Medicago truncatula: one gene and its partner. Each later gene encodes a partner of the first gene's protein in a complex. Links are inferred from orthologs where the notes say so. Each region holds a gene or a part of one and is shown in the gene's direction. Other genes may lie near its edges.

The links.
Region 2: the proteins of ATP-dependent zinc metalloprotease FTSH 12, chloroplastic (region 1) and uncharacterized protein are in contact, whole or in part, in a cryo-EM structure (PDB 8XKU), measured with the Arabidopsis thaliana proteins. The link is inferred for Medicago truncatula from reciprocal best matches to the Arabidopsis thaliana genes FTSH12 and emb2737. Residues at the interface, in NP_565212.1 of Arabidopsis thaliana: Lys126, Asn127, Pro131, Ile134, Asn137, Lys138, Trp139, Trp142, Leu156, Ala160, Phe161, Leu163, Leu164, Cys167, Gln168, Tyr171, Met323, Glu327, Leu330, Val334, Ile335, Glu381, Asp382, Leu383, Leu404, Pro406, Tyr407, Phe409, Glu410, Cys413; in NP_001032071.1 of Arabidopsis thaliana: Thr82, Ile85, Ala86, Leu89, Lys92, Ser160, Ala161, Pro162, Leu163, Pro164, Ser165, Lys166, Ile195, Met196, Glu197, Pro198, Pro199, Ala202, Val205, Leu206, Met209, Tyr211, Pro212, His215, Ser224, Ile225, Phe228, Thr232, Leu233, Ile236.

What each region holds. Positions count from the first base shown.
Region 1 is NC_053049.1:19,167,660-19,179,253, forward strand, and holds the start of ATP-dependent zinc metalloprotease FTSH 12, chloroplastic, read left to right. Parts: upstream 1-6,289; 5' UTR 6,290-6,407; coding exon 6,408-6,779; intron 6,780-8,029; coding exon 8,030-8,214; intron 8,215-9,218; coding exon 9,219-9,445; intron 9,446-10,269; coding exon 10,270-10,547; intron 10,548-11,594. UniProt on the Arabidopsis thaliana protein: Probable ATP-dependent zinc metallopeptidase.
Region 2 is NC_053043.1:39,211,309-39,222,321, reverse strand, and holds the start of uncharacterized protein, read left to right. Parts: upstream 1-6,725; 5' UTR 6,726-6,792; coding exon 6,793-7,017; intron 7,018-7,875; coding exon 7,876-7,940; intron 7,941-8,083; coding exon 8,084-8,182; intron 8,183-8,682; coding exon 8,683-8,818; intron 8,819-8,919; coding exon 8,920-8,979; intron 8,980-9,122; coding exon 9,123-9,182; intron 9,183-9,466; coding exon 9,467-9,589; intron 9,590-10,509; coding exon 10,510-10,578; intron 10,579-10,888; coding exon 10,889-11,013. Other genes in the region: GDSL esterase/lipase At5g45910, read left to right, coding at 392-629, 947-1,165, 1,265-1,410, 1,535-1,808, 1,942-2,144.

The sequences.
Region 1 (11,594 bases):
AAGGCTATTGGTCTATATTGTCCCACAGATAACGCATCAGGGACCTTGGGAATAAGAACAATTGTGTTAGCGTTATAGTTTGGTAGGATCCAATCTCTCTTGAAAAATTTTAAAACTGCATTAGTGACATCCAATTTGATTATGTCCCAGAAGGATTGATAAAAAACTGCCCCAAAGCCGTCGGGGCCAGGTGCCCCATCCTTGTTCATATCCATCACTACTTTGTGAATCTCTAATTGAGTAGGAAGCCTGGTGAGTAACTGATTCATCTCCTCATTTATCATGTTGGGAATTGTTCCATCTAATAGCTCCTGAACCTGCAAATCCTGCACAGAAAAATTAGTTGAAAAAATATTTTTGAAGTGGTTTGTAATGTGACTTGATATTAAATTTGGCTCAGTAATCATGTTATCCCCATCCTTAATGGAAGTGATGAGTTTAGAGGTGTTTTTGATTTTGGTTAGTCTTTGGAAGTATCGAGTGTTTCTGTCCCCATTAGCATGCCAAGCTACCTTAGATTTTTCTCTCCAAAAATCTTCCTCTTTATCCAAGGCTAACTCTAAATCAACTTGTGCAGCTTTCTGTTGTTCAAATAAAGAATCACTATTTCCGAGCACATCAATGTCATTCTAAGTAATAAAGAAACCACAATATCAATTAGAATTGCTAACAGAGAAAAAATATCAAAGAAAAATAAAATCATTCTAAGTAATAATGTAACAAAGAGCATTGATTTTCTTCATTCTTTGTTCATATATCGTTTCTAGCGTTTTCAATATGATTGATTATGCTCACAAATAATACTCTCTTAAAAGATTGTGTTCTTATATCTACTAAAGTCATGAAAGTATCATGCAACTTTTTTCCTGGTAACCTTACTAATGATGATAGCAAGTTCATGCATTACTTTCTCAAAGAATAATTATACACTGATCAAATCTTATTAGGTTGCTAGTTCAAATTTATTGAAGTGAAGGGATTAATTACTAGTGATATGCCCAAAAAAAGTATTACATTATAAATGAAATCATATACCAAAATAATGAAAGATTACTAAAATTTTGTTCCAAATCCTCATTTTCACATTCAATTGGATCATGAACTTAAACTTACTACTTTGCTCCACCAATCTCCTTTGCGATTCCAACAGATCTATTGTGTGGAGGTGGGAATCTCTTTTCCTCTCCATGGTTGTGCTCAGATATGTAGAGATGACACCATCGGCTGATCTCGACTACTCATTTGAGAAAATTGGCAATGGTTAGAGAATTCTACTTCAAATGAAGAGTGTCACTTATCCATAAAGAATCATCAACAATACTGTCTGGAAAATAATTTAAGCAGGTTTGTATTCAAAGAAAAACTCATGTTTGTTAAGCTTCAATACTGTCCATTGTTGTGGTGGAAAAACAAAGATGCATAATTCGTAGGCTGTTTTAAGATTTCTAGTGTAATGAGGGCAATAGAATTTGCAAAAGCTAAAAATTGGAACAATCTTTGGTTATTTTGCTTTCAAATCATCTGAGTGGTGCCTTGGTAGTTAAGAAAAAATGGCCTAATTGTCTTACTTTAATTTCTAGCAAGAATTTCTTAGTGACACATATTTACAAAGAGGGTAGCACTTATGGTGATGATTTAGCCACTATTGGCTTGTCCTTGATCTCTTTTGTTTACTTTTTTTCTATTCCTTTAGAAGCTATGAGTGATTACATTAAAAATTAAAAATAGACTTGGTTGGCCTAATTTTAGGTTAACTCACACTTGAGAAGGTTTTGGAGTTGTCCCCCTTCTTTTTTTTAATCAATTTTCTTTGGTTAATTTTTTGTTGGGTGAGGTAGCTTCTTTCTACTCACTTGGATGAAAAAAATTAAAATATCTCTTCCCCAATTTAATATAAAAAATCACATATATAAATATCTTGAAAATAAATCTGAAAAATGGTATAAAAGTATTAGTATATTTTCATAGAGATGTGAAAATATTCTCAATTAAAATGTTCCTTTTATTATTCTTAAATTGTTATTCGTAAACTGAAAAGATAGTAAAAAATATAATTTGTTCAATAGTGTACTTCAAATTTCTTTGCTTCTTTCTGAATGATCTGTTGTATCCACTTTATCTGCACATAGGTTTGTTCGTTTCTAATTAAAACACATCTTCTTTTTAACCATCAATGACAAAACGTACTGCTGAACATGGACAATGACATTTCTCCAGACAAAACTGGTTAGATGTTTTTCAAAGCATTGAATGTTGACTTCATCCTTCAAATAATAGCTTTGCTGTCAGAGCTTCTCTTGAGCATCAGAGTTTTTTTTTTTTTTTTGGTCAAGTAGTCTAATGGCTAGAGCTCACACAATTTAATTGTGGAGAAGTGAAGTGTCCGGGGTTCGAATCCCTGCCCCTGCATATAAAATGCGATATCCCTACCAATTGAGCTAAGGTCACGGGGATAGAGTTTTTCTTCTTTACTCATAGTAATATATAACAAAGTTAGAATGTTGACTTGAAAGTCATATTTTAATTCTATTGTAAATTTTAAAAAGAAGCAGCTATAATTAAAATCAATTCATTTTTATTCTAACAATTACAATTGATTTACATTATACATTTATTTTGTACTGACAACTTACATGAATAAAAATCTAGACAAAATTACTCGTTATGACACATGTCGCCTCTAAATTACTTGATTTTCTACCCAATAAACAATTCCATGTCTTGGTTCCTAAAAGGGATATATGGGTGAATCAAAATTGATTGGTAATAATAATAATTGAAAATTGGATTTTCTTCCCTATAAACTTTTCGATGCCTTGGTTCCTAGACATAATATATGGGTGAATTAAAGTAGATAGATAATATAAATTAAAAATTAAAAAATAAAACTTAAAAAGTTCAACTAATTTTTCCATACACATAGACACAAACATTTTGTTGGCACAGTTTGTAGAGGACAACATTTAGGGTTATAAACCATGACTTCCTCTCTTAGTAAATTCTACACCATATTCATCTTGATCTTGCTTTGTCTTGTATTTCTCCTTATTTTCACATGGGGTAAAAATCAACTAATAAACCTATATTTATTTGCACGTGCTTCTTTAATTCTATGCCTTGTTTAAGTTTTTATTTTTTAGTTTTTTAATTTCTTTTATTATTATTTTTTAATTTTATGTGTAGAGGTGGAAGCAAAACTTTGTGGTAAGCCAAATAGAACATTGTCAAGCCCATGTATTGACTCAGTGTGCTATGCAAAGTGCATCGACTCGGACTTGGATGCAGTATCTGGTTCTTGTGAAGGCTTTTTTACTTCTGAATGCTTTTGTTACTACGAATGTTGAGAAATGAGTTTTCCTTCGAGCAATTTCTGCCTTTGACATTTTTGTCAAATTTAAAATACTCTCTATAGTCTCACATATACATAAGTACTAGCATAAATGACCCGTGACAAGAGCATGTTAGTTTTTTATATAAAAATGTAGATCATTTTGGACTATCATGTGAAATTCTATTTATATTATGTAAAATTTAAAATGTAATGAATAAACCGTTGGAACATATTTTGAACACTTACATTATCCCTTCCAACAATATATACTTGTTGCTACGAAGACTTTTGCAGCTAAATTTGTAGCAACTCTCTAGCAAACTACCTTAGCTAGAAGTTTGCTACAGAATACCTATTGAATTGGCAGTAGCATTAATTGAGTGACAAATTTTCTAGGGAAATTGTTCTTGGTAAATCCATAGTAAATAGAAAAAAAATCCTAACAGATATTTAGCTATTAGATTGTGTTCTTGTATCTACTAAAGTCATGAACGTATCATGCAATTACTTGTTTCCTGGTAACCTTACCAATGATGATAGCAAGTTCATGCATTACTTTCTCAAAGAATAATTAAACATACACTGTGGAGTAACAACTTTTGATGGGTAGAGAATAGTCAAACATCAAATGGCTCGTCATACCTCTATGACTTGTGACTTCTACCAACTTAATTGCAACTTATAAGATACATACTAATTTTCTCCAGAAAATAGCTTATAATCTAGACTGGTTTCTGGATTATAAGATACATACTAATTCTTTGTTCATATATCGTTTCTTCAGAGTTTGTTTTATATAGACTTGCAGCAATAGTAACTACAAAATAAATATTGGAGATTTGCTCCTATTTGCATATTATGATATGACTATATTAAATCCATACAATAATTACAAATTTCAACACATATATTTACAATCATCTCATTACAATTGATATTAGAAGTGGCAAGTGCTTAGTTTCTTATATTTCTCCTAGCTGCTCTACTCTTTTCACTATCTGTGAAATAAACATGTGTCCCTTGCCAACAGAAAAGAACACTAAATTAATACATAAATTGAAAATTTTGGGCATAAGAATATATTGGTGGATACATAGCAAAGAAGCTATGAAGCTCGGATAAGGATACAAGTGCGATTACGATACGATACGGGTACACGGATATATGAACTTTTTTAAATGTAGGATACAATACGGCACATTAATAAAAAATTTATACTAGAACTTAAATGTATGTAAAATACTTGAATGAAGTAAACATTGATTATTCTTTATTATTATATTAATATAAAAGTCAAAATTTTACAAAAATAATACATGTGATCAAAATAAAAAAATGTAAAGTTTTCTTATAAACCATATTATATTTTCATATGTTCAGATATCGAGTGAAGCATAATTAAAAGAACTCAACACAAATTTTATTTAATATTGATTAACTGAATCACATCTCTCTCGTTATCTTCATCCCACAAAAAATATAATTTTAAGTGGTTCATCGAGAAACAATTCTACTGATGCATATCTAAAATTGAATCATATACATCTCAATTCAATTTTTACAACATTGTCTCAATTTTTTACTCCTCATATTTTCTAGGATAAGTATATGTAAAGTATCTTATAAGTATCATTGTGTATATGTGGAGTATCATATAAGTATCCGACAAAATATTTTTTAAAAAATTTAAATAATTAATTCCGATACTTTGTGCTTACGTATCCACGAGTATAATATTGATATCCGATACGAATACGTCTCTATTTTAAAGTATCTGAGCTTCATAGCTAAGAAGTATCATAATTATTCTTTTTACTTTATAAAAAATATTTCAACAAATACCTATGAAATACTACTTCACGAATATAACCAAATACACATCTTGTGAAAGATAAGGGCATAAGGTGAGACAAGGTTGGTGAAGTTGTTTCTCGATGACCAACATTAAAAAATAAAAAATTTATATTTAATTTATGTTCAGTTAAAAAATTAGAATTATTTTTGGGACATATTCTTATAATATTTTAAACATTCCTAAAGATTTTCATTAAAAAAATAAGAAATGAAATTGAAATTTTTTAAGAGATTAAAAGTGAAAGAAATTTTGTAGAGGAATTAAAAAACATATTTAACCCAAAAATATAAATGATACACATGAATTGATTTAAATTTAGGAACCAAAATTGTAGATAATTTTCATTTAACATTTTAAAATAGGTTTAATAGCAGTATTGGCCTCTTAATTATCAAAAAGTTGAGATTTTGACCTCCTAACAAAATAAAATACAATCCAGCCCCTTAAGTATTTCCCTTTTGTAGTTTTGGCCTCCAATGCCAATTTTGACCAAGTCAATGCTGATGTAGACCCCACTTGTGTAACTTTTTTATTTTTATATTAAAAAAATAAAAAAATTATTTTTTAATTAAATTTTTTTTTGTACATTGACTTGGTCAAAATTGGTCTGGGGTGCCAAAACTGCAAAAAGGTCGGTATTTAGGGGGTTGGATAATTGGATTTTATTTTGTTAAGATGCCAAAATCGCAACCTTGTGATACTTAGAGTGTCAAAACTGCTATTAAACCTTTAAAATATTATCAATTTAATTATTTTTTATAGGCAAAATTACACATTTAGTCCCTTAACTTAATTTCAGATAACAGTATGGTCCTTTATCTTTTTTTCATTTCAATTTGGTCCTTTTTGTCTATTTTCATGAGTTTTTAAACTTAAAATTCATGATTTTATTTTCTTATGGTCCTTCAGTCTTTAAATCTATGATCTTCGTCTATGTTTGTATAAGAATTTAGATTTGAAACTTGAAAATGTATATGAAAATGGACAAAAAGACCAAATTAAAAAAAAAAAAAGGTAAAAGACCAAACTGTTATCTGAAATTAAGTTAAATGATTAAAAATGTAATTTTGCATTTTTTATATGATTAGATAAATAAATGAAACAAAGGATGATGGATAAACCCCTTCATCCTCAACGTAACATAAACCCCAAAATTCCAAAATCATCTTTACTACAGAAATGAAACCAAGAACCTCCTGCTCCATGTAGAAAAATCCATCAATGGCTCTCAAATTTCCAAACCCTTCAAACCCATTTCTTCTTTCATCATCACCACTAACCCCATCTCTTCAAAATCCTAACTTTTTCACTCTACACTTCAGTAACCATCGCAGAAAGCTCAAGCTTCGAGCTTCATCTACAGCAGACCCAAATGGAGCTGATGGGTCATCTTGGTCAGAGTCATTGGACCGCGCTTCGAGGCGGTTTTTGGTGAAATTTGGAGATATGGTGAAGAAAGAGACGGGTGTTGATTTGGGAGATGGGGTTGGGAAGGTTGGTGAGTTTGTGGATGGTGTGAGGAAGGTTGGAAGTGAGTTGAGAATTCCGAGTTTGGATGAGTTTGTTGATTGGAACCGGTTCGAGAATTGGAAGGTAATGAGATTTTTACTTTTGTTGTTAGTTTTATTCATAGGTGATACGAGATAGAATTTAGGCCGTGCTTGGATAAGCAACTTATTTGCAGCTTATAGCACAAATGCGTATGTATAAGCTAGTTATATAACAAAAGATAAATGAAAGTTAAATTGTTATTGTATATGCTGTAAACTGTTTCAATAAGCTATCTTCGAGAACTTATGAGAATAAGATGAAAACAGCTTATGACCAGACATTGGTCATAAGCTGTTTTCGTAAGTTCTCACAAAACTCATGCCGTTAGGTAAACTCAAATAAGTCAATCCAAACAGACCATTTAGTGTTTGGTTTGTTAAGATTGTTTCGTTTTCATTGGGATGATGTTTGAGTTTTGGTATAATTGTTACTTGTTAGGGACTGTTAATTTACCGATAGTTACAAATTTTATTTTCAGTATCTGTTGTATTGAACATGAAAATGTGAATAGGAAATAAGGTGACATTTTTGTAATTATAAGTGAAACTAGAAAAATGATAGTTATAGTTCCGTAAGTACAACTTAAATAGTAAAAGGGTGCAGGGACACTTGACATTCGGGGGTGCAGGTTCGAACCCGCAGTTCTCCACTTCTAGTGTTTGACAACATCGCTTTACATACTTGACAGGATATGATATGATAGGATAGCATTGCATTTGTTTGATGAGTGGGAGTAGATTATTTGAGCTTATCTATAGACATAAGCACTCAAGAGACTGTTTAAGAGAGCTTATGGAAGAAACTTATGATATATTTATAGGCTGTTTTCGACTTATTTCAACAAGTTCTCTAGGATAGCTTATGAAAACAGCTTACAGCTTATATAAATTATTTTTGATTTGATTTTATCTTTTGTTATAGAGGTAGCTTATACATAAGCTCTTGTATGATTCACGCTTCTGATCTAAACACTTAATTAAACTGTTTATTTAAACAGGGACATAATATCTCTCATTTTCTTTACATACCTGATAGGATTGATAGGACAGGATAGCATTGCATTTGTTTAATGAATGGGATCGACTTTGTTGGCATTTATGTATTTTCTATCCTAGAACCATTTGTGTCCTGATAAATTTGTTTTGACCGAAAGAGATGCTATATAAACTGTTGGATCAGCATGGCAGAAGTGGATTACTTGCTTTATTCGTATAATTGGCTCCAGTTACTTTTGTTATTATCTATTTCTTTTTAAATATGAACTAAAACAATGTAGTTTATTCTTATACCAGAATGTCAAGAACTGGGAACCTAGGCGAATCGGTGCTTTAGTTCTGTATATATTTGTTGTAGCATTTGCTTGTCGAGGAGTATTTGTAGCAATTCAAGCACCTTTCCTAAACCACCAGAGGAAAGAGTCGACTGAAGCCTACATGGAAGTGTTAATTCCCGCGCCAACCCCGACTAACATCAGAAAGTAAGTCAAGCCTCGTTTATTCATTATGTTTGGCATTCATATGTTATATACACTTTTGACATATCAAATTGTTGGTTATAATTCTCTTAGAAATTAAGTTGTTCATTTATCGAACTTTTTCTTCTTCTTTCGGAATGTATAATATTCATTCACTACTTAAATCCTACTCAATAGAGTTCTAGTTACTAAAACAAGACAATAGTAGAGAGTGTTCAAAAGAGAATGTGGGTAGCTCGTCTCTTTGAACTACATGCTGTCTTGTTGATTTGACCAAGACATGCTTGATGTTGAGTGTTCCATTTTCTTGGCCTTGACATTTCATGAATGATGATGTATTTACACCCTTGGTTTCAAATTGAGGACTGTGCTATTTAATGCAGCCATAATAGTAGTCGAGGAGTTATAACCAGCTTGTCTAGAGTTCAAACACTGGAAACTAACATAACCACTAATTTACTTATAATAACATTTTCCTGTAAAAAAATAGTAGTTGAGGCATGGCATTTGGCATCATGTCGAATTGTGGGGGGTTTCAAATATCCTCAAAAAAATCATCCACTATGTATTTGCGGCGACTGCACCAGCTTATAGAAATAATGCTGTATTTTTTATTTCAAAAATAAAATTTCATGGCCAGAAGCTTGAAAAATTTCGAAGCTGTTTTGACAGTAACTGGCATTGTATTTGCTCCCTGCAGCAGTTACAATTACAGTGACCAAAAATCTAGTATGTAACCTCAACTGTAATTTAATTTAAAGCTATGACCACAACTTCTCCATGAACTAAACAATACTACAACATTAATGATGCTAGTACTTATAAATCATTATCTGTGAATTTTCTTGCGTATAATTTTGACATTGCCCTTAAAACCCCCAAAAGCTTCTCGCCACTGTTCAAACAATTGCTGACCTATCTGAATACTAAATTGAAATCAATTTCATGTACTGAATCATTTAATGTGTTGTATGCATTTAACCAAGGTTTTCATCATTTAATTGTAGATTCAAGAAGGTCGTGTGGAGGAAGACAATGCCAAAAGGCCTGAAAATTAAAAAGTTTATTGAAAGACCTGATGGAACACTTGTTCATGATTCCACTTTTGTTGGAGAGGATGCATGGGAGAATGATCAGGAATCTTCTGATGAACATGTAAAACAAATTGTTGGGGATGAAGAAAGGTTAAACAGTGAAGAGAAGAACGAATTAACCAAAGACCTGGCCATCTCAGGTTCTCTTTAATTTATACAATTTTTACTCTTTCATTTTTTATATTATTATTATTTTATTTTTTTACTTTGTCTCATGATCTGTGTTTTTCATTTTGGATATATAGAGAAGTTGTTATTATGACTTAGAGATGTAATATTGCACAACTTCATTACTGATAACAATTTTCCCTCAAAAAAAAAATTACTGATAACAATTTATTTCCTCGTGTCCTCTGTATTAAGATAAGATGATACCGATAAAAGTGTATGCTGCAAGTACTGGACTATCATCGTCTTTCTTGTAGTTTGATTTCACATACAAAACATAAACTGGTATTTAACAAACTTCTTTCGAGACTATACAATCAACTCCGCTGACTTGCCACATAATTTTAAAATTGGAATAACCGTAGAAAAGGTCATTAAACCTTGTTTTGTGGGAAGTTCTAGTTGTAAACCATGATGATTATATCTGTGTCAAAAATATTATTTGATTACTTGATAATGCAATTTTCCTGAATGAACTGCAATATCAATTTACATTTGCACAATTGTCTTAGGTTACCAAAATGTAGAACTTCCTTAACTTCATTTGATCCATTTAGATGAATCCACCATGTGAGATAGGGTCTTTTGGATTGGAGTACCGTTAATGACCTTATCTTTGAGGTTGACCTAGTCCTCTCTTTGTCAGGATTTGCATGTATCCCTTCTAAATTTCTTCTTACTGAGGTTACTTACATATCACTAGGATGGTTATGGTCATAATACAAATACAGCAATTCTATTGGGAATTGGATTTTTTTTTTAAATTCTTAATGAAGTACATTTTCATGTTCCAAAGCAGGCGAAGTTCAAACTGAGGGCACATGGCGTGAGAGACTTCATAAATGGAGGGAAATCCTTGGAAAAGAACGTCTTGTTGAGCAATTAAATTCCTTAAATGCCAAATATGAGGTTGATTTTGACATGAAAGAGGTTGAAAATAGTCTTCGCAAAGAAGTTGTAGAAAAGGTGAGAACCACTCAGGGAACAAGGGCTCTGTGGATAGCTAAGAGATGGTGGAGATATCGTCCTAAACTTCCTTATAATTACTTTCTTGACAAACTTGATAGTTCGGAGGTGGGTTTGTGTATATAATTCTATTGCCCTTTATATTCTCTTTCCTTACAAGAATATTTATATATCATCTGACCAAACAGTATGAATAGGCTGTTGTGTATAATTTGGTCCTCTTAGTTTCCAAGTAGTATGCATGCAATTAGAGTTAGTTCAAGTCTAATGGTGGTGAGGGTCGGTAGTTACCATGCATGAGTATATGACATGTACAAAGTAATAAGAAAGTGAATTAAAATCTTAGGCTTTTAGGTATACATTCGTTCAAGTTTGAGTATATGAAAAACATGGATTGAACTATATAATACAACCTCTATAATACTTAGGTGAACTGATGAATTGGGAAAGGATTAATTCATATGACTAATCATTATTTTCTTCATGTAAGAAACACTATATCATCACTACCATGGGTAGATAGGAAGTCTTTGAAACAGAAAAGGTTTTAGAGAAATGGTGTATGTACATGGATCCGGTTATATTTATACTAGGCACATGAGCTGATCAAGGGCTAATCATATATCATATTTACAGCAATTAACTACATAAGAACCGTAGTTAGTGAGTATCATAAGATGTACCTATGTGGGGGCAATGAACAAGAAGGTTTCAATAGTGAAAGTGGTCTTAGGTTTAAACAAAGTCTGGATATACAGTATGGGTGCGATATGATGCAATACAGATACGCAGATTCGCGAGAATTTTTAAAATTTAGGATACAATATGGCCTAGATACGTTTTATAAATAGTAATTAGGCTTAATTGCATGTTTGGTCTCTTATGTTTATTTTAAGTTTTAAGTTGGTCCCTTTTGTTTTAAAACTTTTAAGTTGGTCCCTTATGTTATAAAAGTTTCAAATTGGTTCAAAATGTTACTCACCTTGAAACAAGTTGGTACTTTCTGCCATATAATATTGAGTTTAATAAAAATAAAAGAAAAATTGTTTTAAAACTGATTTTGTAATTATGTTATATTTGCACACTCGTATTCTCAACCCAGATCTCTAAATGGCCAAGTGACAGAGGAACTAACTTATTCCAATGAAAGTAACG
Region 2 (11,013 bases), on another chromosome or scaffold:
AACAGTACATTGAATCATTTACACATCTATTAAAGGAAATTATTGTAACACATTTGGTTTAAGTTTACGAATCTTGTTGTAGGGAATTGTTGCAAACTAACTAGCCATGTGTAACAGCCCAAACAAGGGTAGGAAAAATTGTTGAGGTAATTAATGAACTCATATTTAAAGGATGCTTACGTGTTCAAAAACATTAATTAATACAAAATATAACAGCTTTAATTGAATCAAAACAATTAACTACTTCCTGGTTAGAATGATAGTTTTATGACAAGATTACTCGTTGGTGTGGCAATATATATATAAGGTTGATCAATCTCATTGCCAATCACCCATCATCATATTCATCTTAATTAATAATATTGATAATTTCCTTCCTTACAATTAAACCATGAATGTATTCACTCTCTTCCTCATCACCTTCACATGTGGTTTTCTACAAAATGTAGTTTCAAATGCAAATCCTCTCTCATATGAAGCTTTCTTTAACTTTGGTGATTCTATAAGTGACACTGGGAATGCTGCTTCTATCTTGCTACCTATGCCTAACCCTATTCCTTATGGTTCTAGTTACTTTAAACATCCTTCAGGACGTATGTCAAATGGACGACTAATCATAGATTTTATTGGTATGATTAAGTTTTTTTCTAGTATTATAAATTAGTTTTTCTCCAATGATAAGAATAAGAAACAATAAAAATTATTTACATGCAATCTACAAAATGTATTTGATATATTATCTCTCTCTCACACACAGATACCTAGATACACATACGTGAAATATGGTTTAATGTCTTAACTTGATATTTAGATAAAAAAAAAATAATGAAATGAGGTTTTATTAAAAATAAATAAAAAATCTATTTTCTGTTGTGGAAATCAATAAGAGTAATATGCAATTAAATTTTGATCAAAGTTCTTTAACATGTGATCATTTCAATTGTAGCCGAGGCATATGGGTTGCCGTTTTTGCCTGCCTATGAGAATAAAAGCATAGACCAAGATATCAAAAAAGGAGTAAATTTTGCATTTGCTGGTGCCACTGTACTCGATGTTGAGTATTATGTCAAAAATGGGCTTCCTCTTCCAGATACAAATAACTCATTGAGCATTCAACTTGGATGGTTCAAGAATATCAAACCCCTCCTCTGTAAAAGCAAAGAAGGTTTTACCATAAGTAGTGGATTTTTTTATTTTTTTATTTTTATGAAATACATGAAATTTTTTCGATATGGCTAACAAACTTTGCTTCATTGTATGATAGATTGCAATATCTACTTCAAGAAATCATTGTTTATAGTTGGAGAAATTGGTGGCAACGATATTATGAAGCATATGAAGAATAAAACTGTTACAGAACTTCGAGAAATAGTTCCCTTTATGGTTGAAGCCATTACTAACACCACAAATGTATGTTTTATTGCAATTAAGTTTTGGAATGACTACTTCACTAAATTATAATTCAAAGAGAAATATCATTGATTGGATCATCCGCGTGAAAAAATGTGACATTGATTTTGTTTCTATGTGCTAGGTGCTAGTCGAAGAAGGAGCTGTAGAGCTAGTGGTACCTGGGAATTTTCCGATGGGATGCAGTGCTGGAATGTTAACATTGGTGAATAGTAATAAGAAAGAAGACTATGATGAATTTGGGTGCTTAATAGCTTACAATAATTTAGTCGAGTACTTTAATGGGCAACTAAAAAATTCTATAGAGACACTAAGACAGAAGCACCCTGAAGTTAAGATAATATACTTTGACTACTATAATGATGCCAAACGTTTATATCAAACACCGCAACAATATGGTGAGCAGTATTTATATATAATTATATATGTTGGAAATAACAATATACGTATTTGATTGCTATTGCTACCAAAAATTATTCCTTTTTATTTCATTTATGCATGCTTACTGGATCAATCAAATTAATTATGCAGGTTTTGATAAGGATGCTATTTTCAAAGCATGTTGTGGAGGATGTGGATCACTTGTCGCTATAGTTTGCTCTGATCCTTCAAAGCGTATAAATTGGGACGGACCTCACTTTACTGAAGCAGCTTATAAGCTAATAGCAAAAGGGCTAGTTGAGGGTCCATTTTCAAATCCTTCTCTTAAATCCCCTCTTTTCAAAATAGCTTAGATAACTTATTAGGATGCATGATACTACTAAAGATAAATAAATAAAAATGTAATGAATTTGTCCTTGAGGTTTTGATATGGATGAAATTTGTAACCTCAAAGGGCGAAGTTCAAATCCCATAGAAGACTATTGGGGAAAAATTCAAATAACATTTGACTTTATTGTAAAATGATCATTAATTTCACTGTAATTAATAATAATTTTTCATTCATCGATTATAAAAAATTTGTAATGTATTTTTATGAGTAATCAATTTAAATCAATTATGTGAGAATAATGATTTTTTCTTTTTGGGTGCAAAAAGGGATGTGATAATAAACTTGATCGCTATATGAGAATAATGAATTTTTTTTGGGTAAAAAAAGGATGCGATAATATACTTTAACTACATGAAAATATTAATTTTAATGTGTGATTTAACATTAGCACCCTAAAGACATAACTATCCCTGCAAAAAAATAAAGACATTGATCTCACTAGTAGTAAAAAAACTAAAATTCATGATATAATAACTATTAGATTATGTTTCCTTCAAGAAAAAAATTAGTAGATTATGTTTATTTGACTTTGTACTAAATTTTTTATTACTACCAGTTATTTTTTTAACAATATAATACTTTACAGTATCTATATGTTAATTAATTTATTAATTGGATTATAAACGCTCTTGAAATGCATCGAGTTCATATTTTAGTTGAAACAATCTTTTATAAGACTTTACTTATCTTAAAGTGAACTTTAAGTTATTAGAGCTAACTTCCTTGAGACTTTAAGGTATAAGAAAAAATAATTAATTATATCCTCCAGTTACGGTTATAAGCAAAACTCAATATTTTAGGTTCATTTATTTAATGATGTTTGTAATCTTGCAAGTACAAAATGTAAAATGCTTGTTTAAGTAATAATACAGTAACTAATGAGTACACTATACATAAGGAAATACAATTGATGACATAATAAGAGACAACTGTACATAGTCATCCAGCTTCTTCTACTTGCCTTTGCCACGATCAACCTGCTTATCTAAAATGAAATAAAGGGATTGGGGTGAGACATGATGTCTTAGTGAGTTCCACTTATCCTAGACTATAGGCAATCTTGGAAACCTATGATCGTCATTTATTTGTACATAAACATAATTTAGGGTTTGTTGTTCTATTTTGCACATCGTATCGATCTGGGGAAGTCTAGGATCATTGACAGTATACTATCATAATTCTTGTCATATCATATCATATTTCATGTTATCATTCTTTTTGGTTAGCACTGTGAGCGTGTAACACACAATTATTATCAGAGTTCATTTTACGGAATGCATCGGGTAGAGTAACCCCAACCACATTCCACTGTTGTCTGATGAAATTTCATATTGTATCAGGCTAACATCGGAACTCCTCTTATCGTCATGTAGGACTTGCATTGGAAAAATGTATGTCCACTACTGACGGGGAACCTCAACTCCAGTACTGACGCGAAGTGCGAATGCCATAACTTAACTGCTTATATAATTTCTTATAAACATAATTGTTGAAATTTGTCTTCAAATTTGTGTTTTGGGAGAATAGAGAAATCGTGACACGTCGTGTCACAATTTTCAGGCAGCGAGCATGGTTTTTCAGGGTGCTCAATCGTGTCACGTTTTTAGGAAAACGTGACACAATTTTCAACTTGCTGGGCACATTTTCAAGATAAGGTTGGCCGTACCTTGGGTCGTACGCACCAATCGTGTCACGATTTGGACAAACATGACACGATTTTGACAACTGAAGACTGCTATATAAGTGTTCTTGTGCAGATTTTGAAGAAGAGCTTTTAGAGAGAGAAACTTGGATTACAAAGGAGGTAACTTTAGGGTTGAGTGTCTTTGTAGTGAGGATCTCTTGGGTTGGGGAACATTGTAAACACCTTGGGTAGTGAGATTTCGCCATTGGAAGGATCAAAAAGCTTCCTTTTGTGTTTTCTCTTAAGATTCATTGAGAGTGAGGGTGACACAAAATGGGTAGAAATTAAGTCTTGTTCTTGTGTAAGCTTATAAGCTAATTTCTTGTAACTATTTTGTAACTCTTTCATCATAGTGGATTGGAGGGCTGCTCTCTCCCCCAAATTAGGTCATATTGGACCGAACTGAGCCAACAATCTTGGTGTGTTTGTTCCTTTCTTTCATTGCTTATCTTTATTACTTTGATTATGCTTGTGGTGTTGCTCTACACTTAGATTTAGGTCTGTTTTTGTTGTTGATGTTTGAAGACACTTTATCTATTGATTACCACTTCCTTTGATCCACACATCTTTGTTATTCATTTCCTCCTTTACTGATTTTGCTACAATGATCAGCCAAGTGACACAAAATTTTCACGAGATAGCTTATATATATGTAGGAGGAAATGACCCAAATGCCCTTCTTAAGAATTTTCCCCGATTACTAATTACTTATACATTATTTTTTTTTCTTGACATAAACTATTAATTTAATTATCAAACTACCATTCTGGTTTATAATCTCTATGAAAATACAATAAATATTCATAAATATACGAAATCCATCAATTAATTAGTAGCTAATATTAAAATTAGCAATCAAATTGATAGATTTTATGTAATTTAAAGATGAATTATTATATTTATAAATAAATTGAAGAGAGAGTGATAGTTTTTGAGACTAAATAATAGCCGACCAAAAAAACTAGTTAATTAATGGATTTTCTCTTAGAGAATAAAAACAATATAATAATTTACATATTTATTTTTTTATTTAATAAAATTAGTAAATTTATCCCCTCTCGTAAAGTATTTTTCATAATATGTCCTTGTGAGCTTAGCTCAGTTAGTATGAATAATGCATAATAATATATAAGGTCCGGGGTTCAAACCCCAGCTACCACAAAAAAAAAAAAGTATTTTTCTTAACATGCAACAAATCTAATGCCATCGTTGAACTTATTTTGTTGAGTAAATAACTCTAGGAGTATTTCATATTGGTCAGAGGGACTTATAATAGGAAACCAATTGAGTATTTTATATCGATTGTGCATCAATCAACAATAAAAGAGATGGGTTTCCTTAAAAAAAAAAAAAAAGAGATGGGGTTGGGTAGCTCAATAGTTTGATCTTGAACGATAAGAAGTTGGAGGTCTTGGTTCAAACTCGGGTAAAAGAGAAAAACTAATCTAATAACTAAGTATAGATCAATTGTTAAGGAATAAGAAGTTGGAGGTTTGAGTTCAAACCTGAACAAAGAAATAAATGTCAATCTAACAACTTGAATCACATAATTAAAAAAAGGTTTCATAACACATCTTTACATGGAAATCCGTTGAGGAAACAATAAATGTCGCATTTACAATTGTTTGAGTCACCTTCCACCACCGTATTCGTTCAATCTAGTTTTGCGTCCAAGAATTCCTATCAACCACCACTTGACCTCCTTCAATTCCATATTTGTCCCATTAATTTCGTAGCTAATTCTTGAGACAAATATGAAGAAGAAGGGGGATAAAGGAAAAATATTTTAAGATGAAATCAAGAATGATAAAATGAAGCTATGAGATTGAATTAATCAAATGAAATGATGAAAACAAAGAAAGAAGAATATTAACAGATATTGAAGCATAAGGAAATCAGAAACCCTATAGATGTTTGATTACTGTGTGTTGTTGAGGCAAAGACTCTGTTGGGATGGCCATGTGAGGGCAGTAGAGGGGTGGACGCGCAACACATAGAAGTTTCTCAAAAATTAGAAGGAACAAAGGAGAGTGGAGATAGGGGTGTCATGGAAATCAAAATGTTGCATATGGACAAAGAAATGTGCCTTGGTAAAAACAATTGGTTGCTTCGTACAAAGTATTATTTGGTAAACTTCGTGTATAAGTAATGTAGAGTTCATGAGAATTTATTATTGTCGAAATTATTGCTTTGAAGACGGAAATGACAATTCAAATTCAAACTTGTATATGCAAGGTTAGCAAGAATTGGGAGGAAAATGGCTAGTTAGAACCCGCAGTCCATTATTATATTCAGGGGCCGGGGTTCGAACCCCGGACACCCTACTTATTCATTCTATAAGGTAAATTCTGGCCACTAGATTACCTGACAAAAAAAACCGCATTTAATGTTGGCGTGAGCCTTATTACGTAAGCTCATGTGAGGGGGAGGGAAACCAAGCTTATGATCAGGATTATTCAAAAGCTTAACCTAATAAGCTTTTATAAAAAGAAGAAAGAAGACAATCTCAAATTTTCAATATTTTATCATATCGACTTTTTTTTCATATACACATATAAATTTTGTTTTTTATATAATTACCGCAGGGGTCTTCTACTAGTTTGTATTAAATAATCTATCATGATACATTTTTTTTTTTTTTATCATTGAATTTATTTTTAACCAAAAATGCAAAATGTGAGTTTTTATATTGCTATATAAATATTTCCATAAAAATAAATAATACCGCAATAAAATAAGAGTTTTATGATACCGAATTGACGATCTAAAACTAACTTTTCACACAAAATTAATCAAAAACATTTAAAATTGATTTATGAAATTATGAGGTAGTGAAATTTATTAAACTCCTTTCCCTCTTTGAACTCTATCTATCTTCTCTATCCACTCCCTTTCATTCACTCAGTCACTCTCCTCCCGCCACGCCATGCCCAAACGACCTCGCGGTTTCGGCAATTTCGTCAAGAAATTCTTCAGAAATCGCTTCAAGGAATTCAACAACGCTTATGGCGAAACAGTTAGCGATGTCTTTGCTTTCCCCTTCAAAGTTCTCTTCACTCCTTTGACCGTTGCAATTGATATTGCTGGTTCTGCTCCTCGTGGCTTTGGTGTTCCTGAGCTTGTTTCTAAGCTCTCTGCTGCTTCTGTTTTTGTTAGTTTTGCTTACCCTTTTGTATTTTAGCTTTAAAAATCGATTCTTTTTGTGTTTTGCTTATCTGGGTTATCGTCAACTAGTTCTATTTGTCAATTTTGTGTTTTTTAAGGTGAATTGTGTTGTTTTGTTGAGGTTATGTTTTTGGGTTTGTGGGGTTTTGTGGAAATTATTGATGTTTTTTTGTTTATTTATTTTTCCTTAGTTTCTGGGTTTTGGAGGAAATGAGATTTAATGTTGGGTGCTTTGTCGAAAATTGAAATGAATGTTATGTTGCTATGAAACTGTGACACCTACACGAGACATGGCACTAACACTTCAACGCCGATGATAGTTTGAAAAAAATGGAAATTTGAAGGTTGGTGCTACATAGGTAATTTCATCAAGGGTGCTACCATGTGCCCTTGCCATAAGGGCACATGTTAAGGTACTTGAATGTAGAAATTTTGCATTGAAAAGAGCAGCTTTTGGACATTTAAGAAATTGATTACACAACTGTAGTTTTTTTTTTTTTAAGGATAATGTATGTAGTTTCTTAACATTAAGGGCACATGTTAGTTTCATCAAATGAGATTATTATTTTTTTTTGAAAATTGCTGCTGATACATCCTTTATTGTACTCTTTGATGGACTTTATTTGAGTTCATCAATTAGTCAATGACTACCACAAAATGTATTGAGTAAATTTTTATCAAATAATAGATAGTGTATCAGAAAAAATGTTATAAAGTGTGTTGCTAGTGTTCTTCTTTTGATGTTTGCAGGAATTGCATTGTATGCAAGTATCACCATTGTTAGTTCTTTGTTTTGTTTTTATCTTTATTTGATAATGAATATTGCTGCATGGCTTGATTGTAGGCGGTTGCTACTTTGGGGACTTATGACATTGCATTAAACTTGGGAAGGAAGGTGATATGTCAAAGGTGCTGTTTTGTTTTGTATTTATTAATAGATAGATTGTTGTTTCCTCACTTGAGGACATGATGTGTATAATCTTTGGTTAGTGTAGTGTTGTTTGTTGCCTTTGGAATTATTGAAATCTAACTAAATGTGTTATCAAGAACAGGGACTGTGTGACATGTAATGGATGGCAGGCCATGCGGTGTACCATGTGTCGAGGAAGTGGAAGAGTCCACTATCAAGTGAAGAATTGCCACCTGAAGAGGTGAGTACTCTCCATGTGGAAAAAAGTCAGAGTTTACAGGCATTATTCCAATGTAGTTTGTGGTTTATTTAGTGTTATTGTTGAAGTTTTTAATAATGAATTAATGATCTCACAAACTTGTAAAACAGTTGATTCCAATCTCATAAATTGAGATTCTAGTTGTATTTTAATACTCTGCAATCTTTATCTTTTCGGTTCATTTTTGGTTACATGTCTAGATAGTTCAAGGAAACTTCTAAAGTAATAAACTTTGCACTATAAACGATTATAGTGACTCTTACTTAGATGGTCTTTTAGAAGGCCTCTTAAGAAAACGTACATCTGATTTAGAACAATTTGGGTATGTAAGATAGTGCAGTAAAGTGTTTTTCCGTAAATAACTCCCTCCATTTTGATTCCTTGTAGCATATTTTTTTAATCATAATTTCATAGGATTCTCTCTTCGAACTAATATATAAATACCTTATATTTTCTTCTTCAATTTATTTATTCACTTTTAGTGGAGAGAAAGCGACGGCCGAATCTGTTGCAGATGCCATTGTCAACAACCAGGCTGAGTTAGTGCACATACCATCATCCTCTTTCGATCCTCAGATACCATTACCATCAAAAGACTGTCCAATTTGCGATGGAACGGTATGAACTCAATACAATGGCTGTTAACATGATTGATCTAGTAATTTTGCACGCCAATGCTGTTGTGATTTGTGGTTGAAGAATTTTTCGATATTGCACAGGGTGTAATGGGATGTCCTGAATGTAAAAACAAATTACCATTTAAGATTTCAGCTGATGGTGTGAGTTAATTTCTTTAATTCCTTGAACCTATTTTTTCTTTCTTTCTAAATTGTTAATTTTTGCTGATTCATATTTTAAACTTAAATATCATTTGAAATTGTGATAATTCTTACCATTTTTACGTGCCCTTTCTTTGTTTAAGATTATGGAGCCCCATTGGCAAGCTCGTAATGTCTTGGAAAAGATGGATTATCCATATGAGGTCAGTCGTCATTCTAAATTCTCACCTAATTCTATCCGACCAATTGCTATTATTGTCAAAATTGATAAGATAATGTAGACCTCTCTCATATACTACGAAAACAAACCTTGATGCCATACATTTATAGTCATTTGTTAACCTCTCTGTACTATTACCATCGGAGTGAATGCTTCTCTTAGATTTACATTTTATGCAAACTACTAATTAGTATTTTTTTCATTTGAGATTCTCACTCTTATTTGACACCGTATTCTTAATCTTTTTTATGTTTTTAATATTTTCAGCACATAAGGGATAGCATGAAAGATCCCGATATTGCTGAATTTTGGTTGATTGCCTATCCACAGATTATGTATGGATTTACCTATGGCGACAATGCAAAGAAGACAATATTGTCAGAGTATGAGGTTGTTTGTTCATATTCCTTCTTATTTTTCAGTTTCAGTTCAACTATTCATGTATTGATTTGTCCCCTTATTGGTTTTGATATGCTTTTATTTTTCCTTTTGAATGTCCTCTTTGCTCGTTCAAATTATTCCTTTTGGACTTATCAATACTAGTACTGAACTACTTAGAGGATAGTAGTTCACTTGAATATGTGCTCTGAAATAGAGAAACATCAAAGAACAAAACTAATGGAGCTGGCCTACTGACTTCAAGGGTTTTAGGCTTAACATAACAATAACACGGTTGTGCTCGGTAGTGATGAAGATGGGCGTGAAAACATCTTAGAAAATGAGGAGTGAAGTATGAAAATGATTTGCCCAAAACAATCATCCTTTGCAATTTGCTGAGGAAATGCGTCGAAGTTTATTTTCCACTTCCAGTAATTTCTCTAACTGACAAGCATAATCTCTTAGAAGACGTTCTTTGAACAAAATGGTGTAGCTTATATGCCAACAAGGAAATAACTCCATAACTATTCTTTATTGCTAATCACATGCATTCCATTCATTTTTTGCACAATGGTGTGTTAGGCATATGGTTTTATTAGTCAATTGTAAGAAGAAACGTTTATACGGGCTTGAGTAACCCTTGAATGGATTTTATATTGGTGGGGAAGGTGATGCAGAAAACAAGATTGAGTATTTAAAAAGAATTTGAAGAAAAGGCAGAAGGTGCATAATACCTCTGATTATGTAACTTATAAAGTTGATTATTCTATCCTCCCATACAGTAGCTTTTTCAAGTTAACCAGGCATCATGCAGCCTAACTACACATTACCTATAACATTTATGCTCTAAAGCTTTTGATCAAATCAATTCAAAGCTGTTTTTATTTTACCTCCATAAATAATATTCGTATTTCTTTTGCGTGTGGGTTTAGGAATCCAGGTGGGACCAACTTCGAGATGAGGTGGCCACGAGAAAACCTGGGTGGGAGTTTCTGAACGATGTAAGTTTCGTATACTGTGCACTGAATATTGTTGCTTGTATTCATGGCTGGTTATGCTCTTGGCTATGGACGCAAGCACATAAATGTAGCTATGTAGGAATAAATATTTAGCTAGTTGATAAATGGAAAACAGATAAACTTTTACAATTTTGTTGAAAATCAAGGTGATTTTTTAAATAGTTGGATGCTAGATATTTTGTGTTATTCATGTATTTGAAATTATAGCATCTCAATTTTCTTCTTTTTCTTACCTCTTGCACAAATTTATATATTTTTTAATACATAATTTATAATCGTACTGTTATCACAGGCCTTGATATCTATAGATCCTGACCGTGCAAGGGATGATCCTGTCATAGGTAAAAACATCCCTTACTACAAGGCTAAGAAGGCACTGGAGGAGGAGGTTATGAAGCTTGATCCTCCACCAAGACC